Tribolium castaneum: one gene and its partner. The protein of the gene in region 1 interacts with the protein of each later gene in a pairwise test. Links are inferred from orthologs where the notes say so. Each region holds a gene or a part of one and is shown in the gene's direction. Other genes may lie near its edges.

What was found. The genes of interacting proteins can lie anywhere in the genome.
Region 2: the proteins of Prim2 (region 1) and RhoGAP68F interact in a two-hybrid assay, tested with the Drosophila melanogaster proteins (2 studies listed by BioGRID). The link is inferred for Tribolium castaneum from reciprocal best matches to the Drosophila melanogaster genes Prim2 and RhoGAP68F.

Annotation. Positions count from the first base shown.
Region 1 is NC_087395.1:23,553,457-23,560,141, forward strand, and holds Prim2 (DNA primase large subunit), read left to right. Parts: upstream 1-2,141; 5' UTR 2,142-2,374; coding exon 2,375-3,091; intron 3,092-3,798; coding exon 3,799-4,315; intron 4,316-4,368; coding exon 4,369-4,538; 3' UTR 4,539-4,659; downstream 4,660-6,685. Other genes in the region: RRP12-like protein, read right to left, coding at 1-10, 62-291, 345-587, 1,095-1,865; ras-related protein M-Ras, read right to left, coding at 5,295-5,387. UniProt on the Drosophila melanogaster protein: Regulatory subunit of the DNA primase complex and component of the DNA polymerase alpha complex (also known as the alpha DNA polymerase-primase complex) which play an essential role in the initiation of DNA synthesis.
Region 2 is NC_087394.1:22,483,239-22,489,931, forward strand, and holds the start of RhoGAP68F (rho GTPase-activating protein 1), read left to right. Parts: upstream 1-3,168; 5' UTR 3,169-3,410; coding exon 3,411-3,453; intron 3,454-3,504; coding exon 3,505-3,627; intron 3,628-3,673; coding exon 3,674-3,962; intron 3,963-4,015; coding exon 4,016-4,333; intron 4,334-6,693. UniProt on the Drosophila melanogaster protein: Functions as a GTPase-activating protein (GAP) for RhoA/Rho1 during gastrulation by converting it to an inactive GDP-bound state.

The DNA of each region.
Region 1 (6,685 bases):
CAAATCAACACTAGAAAAAATTTAAAATAAAAAAAAATAAAAAGTTGGGGGAAACACCGACTCGGCCAAATGCACATGCGCTTGCTGCATCACAGCCAACCAGGCTAAAGTCGGCTGGACATCACCTGCAGCCGGCTGGTATTCGTACAACGCTGAAATTAACTGGGCGTTCAATTTTGGGGGAACCACAGCCGTTTGGGCCGAAAAAAGCGCATGGAGCACCTGTAGGCCACATGACGTGACGATTGGGTAGTTTAGAGTCATCAATCTTAAAATAATCTCGCAACATTTCTAAAAAAAAAAAAAAAATCGTATTATCGTCGCAGCTAAAAAAACAACTGTACCTTCATGTGCGACTTTGAAAAACTACAAATTGTGTCTTTCAACAACCCCAGAGTGTGTAAAATGGTCGTCTGACCTGCCTGTATTGAAGAAACTAAAATAGCGCCCGAATTACCTCCCATACAAGTGTCTAAAGTTTGCTCGCAAAATTCGGCGATTTTATCAGCCGCAATATTCGTGTTAGTTGAGGTGAAATAGTCAGATTTTACGACTAAAATTACAGCTTGTTGGGCTGCTTTACGCCACTAAAAATCACAAATTAGGGACAGTTTTTACGATTTTTCAGAGGTGGATTAAGGGCCTGCGAACCTGTTTTTTATTAAAATTGTATTATTATATATTTTTATTTTTTTATTATATATTATATATATTTTTGCTGTATTTCAAAAACAAATAACGACACAAAAAACCAGGGTTTACGATTGGATAACTTTTTTCCTAAGCATGATTTTTTTTATTTATCGACAATTCTTTATATAATTAAAATTAATAAATTATTATGGAGAGGATGAAAAAAATTAACGATGCTCGAATGTTGAAAAAGTCCCGTTAAAGTTTGTCGACCATTTTCAAGTAAATGGCAACTTAATTCAATTAAACGTGCTGCCATTTAATTGCCAAAAATATTTTTTATTTTAATTAACTAATTAAGTAATTAAAATAAAAAAAAATCTGTGAGATTAATTTTTGAAACGTAGTAGAAATATATTTTTGGACCCCAGTCCACTTAATCCACCTCAGGTGTGCCTCACTTTTGGTTTCGTATGAAGACAAAAGGGGTTCAACATCGAGGTAAAAATCTTAACCGTTGCTTCGTTAGTCCAAACAATCAATTCCTGTTTCCTCAGAAGCGTCCCCAAAATCCCAAAAATCGACTTAACGATCGTATTATTATCAGAATCGACGTAATCATTAAGAATGTGCAAAACTTTCGCCGATAAATCGCTAAAAGTCCGGCGTAAAACCGGCTCTGGCACCGTCTTGATCCCCATATTCAGCAAAGCCAACGCCGCCGTCAACTGCTCCTCACTGCGCTCCTCCCCCTCATACACACGTTCAAGTGCAGTTATCAGCGAACAATAATATTCAGTGGCCGTCTCAGAGCCCCCGTTTTCCCTAATCACCTCGCTAATCGCCGCAAGCATCGCCAGCATCTCCTTATGCAGGGCGGAATCGGCCCGGAAGACTTTCAAAAAGCGGGTGAACGACATGTTGCTGTAACTCGACCATTCGGACGCAAACGATTCCATGGTTTTGTACGAGGAGTAGGTGCCAACTGACGACTCCACATCCTCGTCCACGCCCATGGGCTCTGGGTCCGGCCGCGGCTTGAAGGCCTGAACTGCATCGTGTTTGCGCAAAGCCTCAGACGTTAAACCGCTCGAGCCCAGATTTTCTTGAAAGAAACGCGATTTGGCCAAATCACGGTACTTGTGCGTCTCGGGGTTCGAGCTCGAGCTCTGGCCCTTCGGCCACCGCTTGCCCTTGGCCTGGCCCTTCAGCTTGGACCGGAACTTCCCCATTTTTGCTAAAGGAAAACAGATCAAAAAAACATAACCTCACTTAACGACACGTGCCGTTTTTTATCGACTGGTGCAAATCTACGCATTGTATTGACAAAAAGCAGAAAAAACTTACGTTTTTCCACTTATTAACAGCAATTGGTTTTAGATAATGTTGATATTTACACAAAAAAAAACTTATTTAAACTTGATAGTTGACATTTAACTTTGCCACACGTGGTGGGTTTCACTTTCACCAACCGTGAAATAAAAAAATTACAAGAAAGTTCAAATTAAATTAATTTGGCCCAATATTTCGACTCATTATTCCTTTTTGATTGTTTCAAATGCCACACGGGGTGGAACGCCACACCTGGAAAATATCTGAGCGTTGGTTTTGCCCCCAAAAACCGGGCAGTGATTTTAGCTAGTCCCCAGATATTGGTGCCAGTTTTTGGCGGGATACCATTTAAATGTGAGGTTAAGTGAGTTAAGTTTTAACTAAACACTGTAAATTGTGAATTTTCGCCATGGATTTCACGTCGTATCGCCGCACGGTGCGAAAAGCCACCGCCGAGGAGCCCCTCTCCGAGCTGTACCCCCACGACGTGAGCATGTACCGCGAAAGCCCCAAAAGCGAGATTTCCATCCTGGAATTCGAGCAAATCGCCCTGGACCGGCTCAAATTGCTGCGAATTATCGAGCAAGCGGCCCCCAAAGGCAACCGGTTGTACAGCGACCAGTGGAAGACGTGCATTAAGGACGACTTGGCCAAGGCAGGGTTGAAAAAATACGTGCGCTTGATGGGGGGCACCAGTGGCACGAGCGACTTGGATTACCAAGCCCGCAAGGCCGATTACCTCTCACACTTTATCCTCCGGCTGGCGTATTGCCGCTCGGAGCAATTGCGACGGTGGTTTTTGAGCAGGGAACTCGAGTGGTTTTGGATTCGTTTCACGGCTCAGTCGCGCGAGGGGGTCAAGAATTTTTTACGAATTTATAAATTCTCATATACTCCTATTTCGGAGGAGGAGAAGGTTTCGCTAAGGCATGAACTGGAGGCGTCAACTGCGGGGTTGATTCTGTTCGAGGAGACTGAATTTTTTAAAGTGCCTTTTACTGAAGTTTGCTCGTTGGTGAGGGGCCGGAAAGTGTTTCTTAAGGCTGGGTTTGCCTATATTCCGTCCAGCGAGCTGGTGGTCTGCATCCAGTCGAAGTTCAGGGCTGAATTAAGCGAAGAGCTAACTGTAAGTCTAGTTATATAAAAACATATATAACGAAATAAGCCCAATTTTAGTCATTTTCAGAGAAATTATAAACGTATCTTAAAAATATTCTGCTATAAATGCTATAAGAATTTTGTTATAAGTACCGAAAATTTATTATTAACTGAAACCTATTTTTTCTACAATAACAATAAAACATCAAACGGAATTTTTTTTTTAAAACGTTTAACATTTGCACTCTGACAGGTTTGAAATCCAGCAGTTTAATTTAAAAATACTGTGATGTATGGTTTGAGATCGACTGCATATTTTATTTATTTTTATGGACTTACTATTTCGTTTTAAAACTGAGCACCCCAATAAAAACGTGGTCAAGAGTGCTTTGTAAATTTCAGCAACAATTGGTAGTTACCTATGAAATTTTCACAGCACGCGTGACTACGATTTTTATTTCGACACACGCCACCTTGACCGTTTAACAATTTGTGATTTTGATGTTTAAACATTTAATTCCTGCTATTTTAGAAAAAAATCATATTTAGACAAGTGTTATAAAGCTTGTGGAACCAAAATTAATAACCAAATTTTTTCTTATATTCTATTTTACGTAAGATGATTTTTTTATATTTTATTGTAAAACGAAATGGGCGCTTATGTTCTCAACTATTGAAGGCACTCGCTCGCTACGCTCGTCGTGCTCTAAAATAACTCCAATTCGAAACTTTCAGTGGTACAGCCACCGCATCCACCTTTTCGACGACGAGCGTATTGGGCCCCTTTTGTCCAATTTCCACAATTTGCACACGGGCCAAAATTACCGAGTCCGTGAAAACCACGAAAGTGTCGATCCAGCAGATCTGGACACATATGCTAAAAAACACTTCCCTCTCTGCATGAAACACATGCATGAGGTTTTGCGGTCTGAACACCACCATAAACACCAAGGCCGTCTAACTTACGGTCTTTTCTTGAAAGCTATCGGGCTTTTGTACGAAGATGCGCTCAAATTTTGGAGGGATGAGTTCACGAAAAAAATGGATTTGAATCAGTTTGAGAAGGGTTACGTTTACAATATCAAACACATGTATGGGTTGGTGGGGAAAAGGGCCAGTTATTCGCCCTACAGTTGTGTTAAAATTATTACGAGTAGTGTGGGGCCTGGGGAGCACCATGGCTGTCCGTTTAAGCACTGGGATGTTAATCTTGTTAAGCAGAAAGTTATCGAATGTGGTGTGAGCGTTGATGGTAAGTTGGCTTACTTTTTTATTTAAATGAAGTACTTTTTGTACCTATTACAGGTGCTAATGAAATCAAGCAGCTTGTTTCTGATGGTCATTATCAACTAGCTTGTGGAAAATATTTCGAATACACTCACGGAAAAGCGCTGGGAAATGGAATTAATCACCCTAATCAGTATTTTGAAGAGAGCATGAATATTGAAAAAGGAGCTTCAGGCAATAAGAAATAATATCTGTTACTACAATTAAACGTTATTTTTTAATAATTTATTTTATATTTACCCTTCAGTCTAAATTGCATCCGTTTTTTTAATTTGGTTTTAATAAAGTCCCAAAGACTTTAATTGTTGATACATGCTTTCACGTTGTATTTTATAGTTAAATAAATATTTTGGAGAATAATAATTGTGTTTCGTGACTTCAATGGCCCAAAAATTCCATTCAAATAAATTTTATTAACACATCGTACACAAAAGATTACATTCGTAATAAAGTGTCAAAAACATATTGTAATCTAGAGTTTAAGCTATCTCTACTAAAATAACTTTGGTAAATAAAACTGAGTCATTCAATTGTTTGACCTAACAACTGTACGTTTCTTTGGCTAATACTTGAAGCCCGTGCTGAAACTCTAGATTAACGCCTAGTATTAAAAAATAGCTAAATCGGTTATCAAATAAAACATGAGCGGGTTATAATACAAGTCAACAAGACTACTGTTTTCATCCCTCTAAACATATGTATAAAAATCGAAAATATCACAATGTCGTTTTGAAGGTCTGAAATAAATTAGTGCCGTGTTTTTCGTACCATCGGGAGCCAATTTTAAGCAAAATGAGCAGTTTTTGGTCCTCTTGAAACATGATGTAGTTTGCCTTGGACTCATCATACAGAGAATACAATAATCTATGACACGTAACATTGAACACTTGACTTTAAAGCTATAGGATACAATTAATAGGCCTGTTAACATAGAGAAAAGCAAATTAAATAATAATACATTTTCCAAGCTTGCTGAGCTTCCGCCGCTTTTGCTTCTCGTGGTCGGGCTGCGGCTGATTCCTTATAATGCGCACAACCTGGAAACAACACCGAAATTTATGGTGTTGGCACATTTTTTTTAAATCTACACTTTTATAAGTACAGAACAGTGAGGAACACAAAATTTAAGTAAATAAAGAATACCAGGAACATGAACGAAATTGTGAACATTAAAAACAAAACAAAATAAAATAATTAAAAATAAAAGAAGTTGTAGAAACTGGGACAAATTCCGTACCGGTAATAGTTTTTGTAAACGTTGAGAAGATAATAAATGTGAAAGCAGGAGTCATAAAAAGATGCAATATGTAAATACGTACAAGTGTGCTTAAGATTCTACAATTTTTAGCAAGGAAGTGAAAAAAATGCAAAATAATCGAACTTGTAGTCTTTTTCCAATTTGCTAATTTTTTTAAATAATAAGTTTTGGTAAAAATGGAATATATTGCACATATTTGTACCGAAAAAACTAAAAATTATGAAATGAAATTAAAAGCACCAGCTTAGAAAACTACATTTAAAACTATTTAATTATTTTTTTTACTTTTGAAACCGGTGCATACATAAAAATTCTATATTACTTCCCGCTTTTAAAAAATTAAAAAGATGCCTCTTACAAAATAAAGAACGATAAAACCCTTTGTAAAAAATTATTAAAACTGTTTTATTTTATTCTTTCTAAATAATTTATATAGCCAATTAATGTTAAGTCTTTCAATAACGATTATGTGTGTCACCTTTGCAAGTTTCGCTATATCTTTCTAGAATACGTTTTTAAAATGAAAAAATATCGATGGATTGTTGTCATTTCCGACCAAATTTGGTGATTTTTCGTTCTAATTTAATAAAAATAGGGGAAAACTTAAAAAAAACTTAATTTTTGTTCTTAAAACGTGTTTAAATCCTCAGAACCTGCAAAAATAATCTTATTTTTGACATAATTCTGCTTTACTTTTTAAGAAATTTTGCGCAATAATTGAGTTTTCACTGAATAAACGCTTAGAAAAGGTAAATTTTTGGTCATTTCCGACCAAATTTGGTGATTTTTTCGTTCTAGTTTAATAAAAAAAGGAAAAAAACTTGATTTTTGATCTAAAACGTGTTTAAATCTTCAGAACTTGCCAAAATAATGTCATTTTTGACATATTTCTGTGATTTATTGGCTTACTTTTTAGGAAATCTTGTACAATAATTGAATTTTTACTGAATAAACGCTTAGAAAAGGTAAATTTTTGGTCATTTTAGACCAAATTTGATGATTTTTTCGTTCTAGTTTAATAAAAACAATGAAACAAACTTGATTTTCGGCCTAAAAACGTGTTTAAATCCTCAAAAC
Region 2 (6,693 bases), on another chromosome or scaffold:
GCATTGTAGGATTTTTTGTCAATTTTATGACAAATGTGTTTATGTGATCTGTATTTATTACGTTATCTCGGTTTGATTTTTTAAATATATTTTTGGATGCACATGTTGTTTAATACTTAACAATGTTTTTATTCGAGGTGATGCAGGTTTTATTCTGCTTTAACACTGGAGAGGGCGAGCGTAGGTCGAGTGCTGTATAACTGTCTGATATATTTTACTTTTTTGTTGTATTGCTTTGTATTTTCTACTACATGATATATTAAGGAGAAATGAAGCAAAATAAATTAGTTTTAAAATGTTTGTGATTTTTAATTTTCCAGTCATGTTATAAATATTATACAATAAGTGAATTAAACCATTGTTTATTTGCTAGAAGAAAATTTAATACCACGAGCGCAAGCGAGTGGATTAAGTCTTCGAGCAAATTAATAGGTTTAATTCACGTGTCGTATATATTTTTTTATTCAATTTTGACCAAAATTTACCAAAAAATGCAAGAAAATGTTAAAATTAACCGTTCGGTCTATACAAATCATATCACATGCGAATCAAATTTCGATAACAACGAGTTTATTTATTTGCAAAAGTGCGAGAATTGTAACGCGTATGGAAAAAATGGCTAGAATCAGCGATTTTAAAGAGGAAAACCAGGTTTTCGTGCCTGAATTGATCATTCAAGAAGCTTCAGAAGCTATAAATAAAGTGGTGCCAGCAAAATCTAAACAATTATACGAAAGAGTATTCAAATTTTTGGGAATGGAGGAAGCGGAAGGATGCAAAGGGAGTAGACGAGAGAATAATTTTGGCTTATATTTCTGAACGATCCATAAATGCAAAATCTTCGTCATTGTGGGCGTATTATTACCAACTGAAGAAAATGTTATCTGTTAAAGAAAATATCGATATAAGCAGGTTTGTGAGGATTATATTGTTTATAATAAGTTTTGAACTAATAAATAATTGTTGTAGATTTCATCAGGTATCTGCTTTCTTAAAGCAACACTCTGTAGGGCACAGACCAAAGAAATCTAAAGTCTTCAGCTTCGAAGAAATGGAAAAGTTTTTAGTCACTGCTTCAGATGATGAATATTTGCTGCAAAAAGTGGTTCTAATTGTGGGAGTTTTTGGAGGCTGTAGAATTGGAGAATTAGTTGCCATGTCAGTTGATGACGTCGATGATCGAGGCAACGTAATTGTGGTCAATATTCCTGACACGAAGACTTATAAGCCAAGAACATTTACTATCATCAATGGAAGTAACTCTATTCCTTCCACTGACGTTTTTTGCAAGTACAGAAAACTACGACCCGAGAGTATTTTACACAAACGGTTGTTTATCAATTACCGTAAACAGAAATGCACAGTGCAACCAGTTGGGATAAATACTATTTCAAAATTTCCCGAAAAAATTGTACGATTTCTTTGTCTTCCAAATCCAGAAGAATATACCGGACATAGCTTTAGACGTTCAAGTGCAACTTTACTGGCAGACTCTTGAGCCGATTTAGCAGTGGTAAAGAGATACGGAGGATGGCGTTCAAATAGCGTTGTGGAAGGATATATAGAAGATTCCCTTAATAATAAAATTGAAATTTCAAGGAAAATCATAAACCATTCTTCATTCCTTCATTCAGAAGGAATCCACCTCAAATTCGGAAGCACGTACTTCCGCGTCATCAACATCAGTGTCAAATCAAAATATAAATGGGCCTATTAATGATAGATATGGTGTACATTTCAGTAGCCTCAGTAATTGTAACATTTATTTTAAATAAAAGTATTTGTTGGTATTCATTAAAGTCATTTAAATCAATAGTGGAATAATTTTTAAATCACTAGTGAATAAATCACTACTTATGCGTGTTACTATGGAATCAATAATGACACTTTATAATGTCAAAATTGAATAAAATAATTTAAAAATAAACAAAACTTGTAAAGCACTATAAACTATATAAATCAAAGTTGATATGAATTACGGATACCTAAAGGTTAAGGTAACAAATGGTGTACAAATAGAACATTCCCGTCCTAGAAAATTTCGTTAATGTCTACAGAAAGCGCACTTGTATTACCACATAAGTTTTTGCAGGAAAAAATTAACTTTGTTACTTGACCACAAATAAAATAAAGCGAATCCGTCCCCTCAGCGTCTTTGGGGTCTAAACCCAATATATGATCTCAGCGGACTTTATTAAAGTAAATTTAATTCTCTACAAATTTCTTCATAACACTTTTCTTGTATCTTTTTTTCTCAGTCTGTTAAGAGTACAAAGCTGAACATTTCTGCATTTTTTCCAAGTAATTAGTGAATTAATTGTATTTAAATTAGTTTTTTTTGTTTTGTCTCCTAAGTTATAGTCCTCCGTAATGTAAATAAAAATTCTACTGAAGTGCGATTTGGAAAAAGATCCGATAATTGTTATTTATTAATTTATTATACAGGTTATTCAAAAGTACTGAGCAATCTCTCGGGTTCCATTGTTCCTAGTTCCTTTAACAAAAAATTGTTTGAGCATTTTTTGATCAGATATACAGGGTGAGTTAATAGTGGGTTAGTTCTGACATGCCCTACGATGCAACCAAAAGTACTAATATATTAAAAACAAGTTGTTTAAAAAAATCTGACTTCATGTTTGTGCTTAACTGAAAGTTTTTCATCAGTACCACCATACAAGACTTTGTCCGACATTTTTTAATCATCCTGTAGGTACAAAATGAAAAAGTTTCAAAGGCGGTTTTACTCCCGGACTAAAACGCTTGAAAAAATAATAGTAAATTGCATAATCGTCGTGTATACAATACAACATTTTATTTCATCCTCCAATATGTCGATTGAATTACTGTTTTTTCAACAGATTTTAAACTCAACAATTAACACAAAATATCAGAAACAGTTGTGAACCATATTTCATAGACGATAAAATTTCATTTCACCATAAAGAAAACATTAGAAAAAATTGTATTTTATCATTTACGGTGAAATAAATTGCTTTTTTTCAGTGAAATGTATTTTCAGTACTAAATTTTCTACCAAATTGAATATAACTCAGAATTCTAAATTTGGGACTAATTTTATCATATGAAATATCTGTCGTTATCTTTTTGCCACTGCAAATTTTAGCTCTTATGATACGTGGTAACTTTCAAATAATTGGCGTTTGTTGGATTCAGCGCGCAGGTTATGTTGATTGTCAAATTGTCGGAAGACGTCAAAAAAGTAATTTATCGTAATTTACATGTTTACTTACTAACATTTACGTTTTTACAATTGGGAGTCGCTTCCCCAACTTCTAGTCTTTTTTTGTGTTTTTATTTTGTGTAATTCGGTGTTTGTTTTTTTACCGGGAAAGTGGGTGTGCTAATAAAAACGAAAATTTCCTTTTGAAATGACTTAATTTGCATTTAAGATGAATACCAACAACAAGCTCAGTCCAACGCGAAACTTTTCAGGTGCGTAAAACATCAAAAGATAAGTTTGAGGCCACTTGAGGCGCATTTTAGGTAATCTCGCAGATAACAATGAGGAGCCCTACCCAAGCCTATCCGATTACCACGACTACGAACCTAATCTCGAATTCGACGATAGCGAGTTGCATCAGAGCCCTGATATTGTTGTCCAAACAGGTGAGGTTTTGCAATAAACAAACATTCGTGTCTGACTCAGCTGCAGCCGAGTTGATTCAAATGGAATCAAACGGCATTAACTCGCCCATTCCCGACTTCACCGACGACAACTTTGAGGACGAGTTGGCCGACCCCAGCGAGGAGAACTTGGACAGCTTAGTGTACTCCCCTTCCTACCCCGAAGTCGACGACTCCCCCACACGTAAGTTTTCCGAAATTGATAAACATAAAATCGTGGATGTGAAAGGAGACGATTCCGCGGGGAGAAAAATCATCGTTGTGTACGCCCATAGGCTGCCGCCCATCGCCGAGATCAATCACAGTCTATTTTTAAAGTAATTGCATTAACGGCCTACAGCGCGTCATATTTACAATTGTGCAATTTCAGTTATCTTACCCACACTTTAGATCAGTATGTGGAACAGGATTATAGCTTAGTGTACTTCCATTATGGCCTCTCAAGCAAGAATAAACCCTCCCTCAGGTGGCTTGTGCAAGCCTATAAGGCTTTCGATAGGAAATATAAAAAGAATTTGAAAGCTTTGTACTTAGTCCATCCAACTGGCTTCCTAAAGTTCGTCTCGCAAATCTTCAGACCCTTAATTAGCGCCAAATTTGGGAAGAAAATCAATTATATAAACACTTTGAAAGAGTTGAATGAGCACATATCGCTGGAAAAGTTGGACATTCCGGAGGAAGTGATTGAGTAATTATTCTTAAATTTGTGGAGGACTGAAACTAGGAGGCGAAACGGCATTCAGAATTACAATTGAGTGGCGCGTTTAGGCTGTCTCAGTTTTTTCTAACGGTTCATCTTTGTTGAGCCAATTAGGACGCGAAATGAAGTACAAAGCAACTCGATTTTCTGAACCCAAAAATTTTATCTTGATTCCAAATTGTTTTAAATTAATTTAAATTCAATTAGTTTGTTAATTGTTTCGAAAAAAGGCAAATTCTTAATAAGCTGAGAAAAAGTAGCGACTTTCACACCACAAACATAAGAAAAAAAATAGAACTTGCGCTCCGTGTTTTTCAGAACGCTGCGAATACGGTGAAAGTTGTAGGTAATAAAATTTTCAAAAAAGCCAGAGACCATATCCTCATCTTTAACAGTTAACGCCCCCAAAGACTCTCGACACCACTCAAACGAATTGGTTTCATTTTTATCAGTAGTTAAAGTTGAACTATACTTAGAACGTCCGAAGAGGAGCTGTTCAAGCAAGCGCGTGAACGCAAAATTTGAAATTGGATTTTTAAGAAAAGTAATAAACAAAATACTTTCTTTACAATTGTATGTTGTTCCTAAATTCAGTCACTACCTCACAGGTGAATTTGTATCTCATTTTAAGTATTTGTAACAGAGTTTAAACGCGTTAAAAAGACGATTTAATTTTTTGTTCTGTTAAAAAAATGTAAGTTCAAATTGCTTGAACAAAATATGGTGACTTTCTGAGGACCTTAACAACAATGTACAGCCTGCTCAAAAACTGGCGCACCAACTCAATGGTGTGTGATAGAGAACTGGTTACATATAAAGGTAAAAATAGTAAAAAAAATTCTTTGTATTAAAGTTATTGATAAATAATGAATTTTAGATAAATGATATGTGGCAACGTTGTCTAACAGTCGTGATCGCAATAGAATTTGATCAACAATAAAAATAAATTATTTTTCAAAAGGTTTCCTAGGAAATAATTCCCAGTGTTGGCACATCTACACATTGTGATTTTTTTGATGAATTTTATTTTTTTTTAAATTAGAAAACCGCTGAAGTCTGATAGAAAATTTAAAAATAATCATTCATCGTTTTGTTAGGGAACGATTACCTACTGTGAAACATAAAAACATTGAAAAATAATGAAAATTAAAGAAATTAATACAATAAGTTTGTAGCTCCAGATTTTTTAAAATATGACTAAGGATTTTTTCAACTTTTTTACCGTAATCTGCACTTGCTTCTCAATAACGTACCACTAAGTTGGTGCGCCAGTTTTTGAGCACCCTGTACATAAATTTGAAAAAAATTGAAAATAAAATGAAAAAAAAACATTTTTAAGCCGTTTTGGTTTTTTATTAAAAAAAGGGTACTATGTTTATTGGTAATTTTTTATATAGGTCTTATATATGACGTACTTGTAATACTATATTTTTTTATGCCATTTGAACTGTAGGTTTTTCCATAAAAGCATTAAGGTTATTACACTGTTTACCCTGTTATGACTTGGTTATAAATATATAAATCGAGATAAGAACTGATCTGTGAAGTAATAAGTGAATATAGGAACATCATCCAATTGTAAAAAAAACGATTTTTTATATTATTTTTATTAAAAATTGAGTTTCAAATTAGTGCATGCGCACGGCCGCCTGAACGGTGAGCCCAGTTTAGTTGAACCTTAAATGACAGGGGAACAGTTTAAGGCTAAAGGGGAAGTCGTTTTAGTGTGTTTCTAAATCGACAGATGGCGCGGAATTTATTTTTCTATTATTTTCATATCCATTTACGTATGCGAAAATGAAAAAATGCCTTGTACATAGAATATTAATTACATTTGTGTCTGCGAAATATTTTTTTATTTTTTCATTTATTTTTGTTGTAAAAATTCGATAACGAAAAAGTTTTCAAGATGCGAATTTTGTAAAATTTTTTTGATATTCGCCCTGCTGCCTTGTTCTTTTGATGCTCTCATAAAGGGGCTGTGAGAAAGGCACTCTGTGGAAGCAGTATACAGGGTGTATCAGAAATACGTGTTTTAATTTAAACAGTTAACAGAGCTCAACGAAAAAAACATCTTTTTTGTTTCTAATTTTTTAATAAAAAATTCGGAAATTTACTTAAAATTTGGAAAAAATAAGATACTGAAATGTGTACTTGCCTATGGGTACAAAATTAAAAGAGCCGAACTATTTTGGTTGTGATAGAAACGGACAATTTGAACAATTTTTTACGTTTTATTACGTGTTAAAATTAACACACGTATTTCTGATTCACACTGTATTAGCTATTGTAAGATGTTTTCTGTAGTACTATAGGAACAAATATGGAACTAACACCAGTTAAATCTC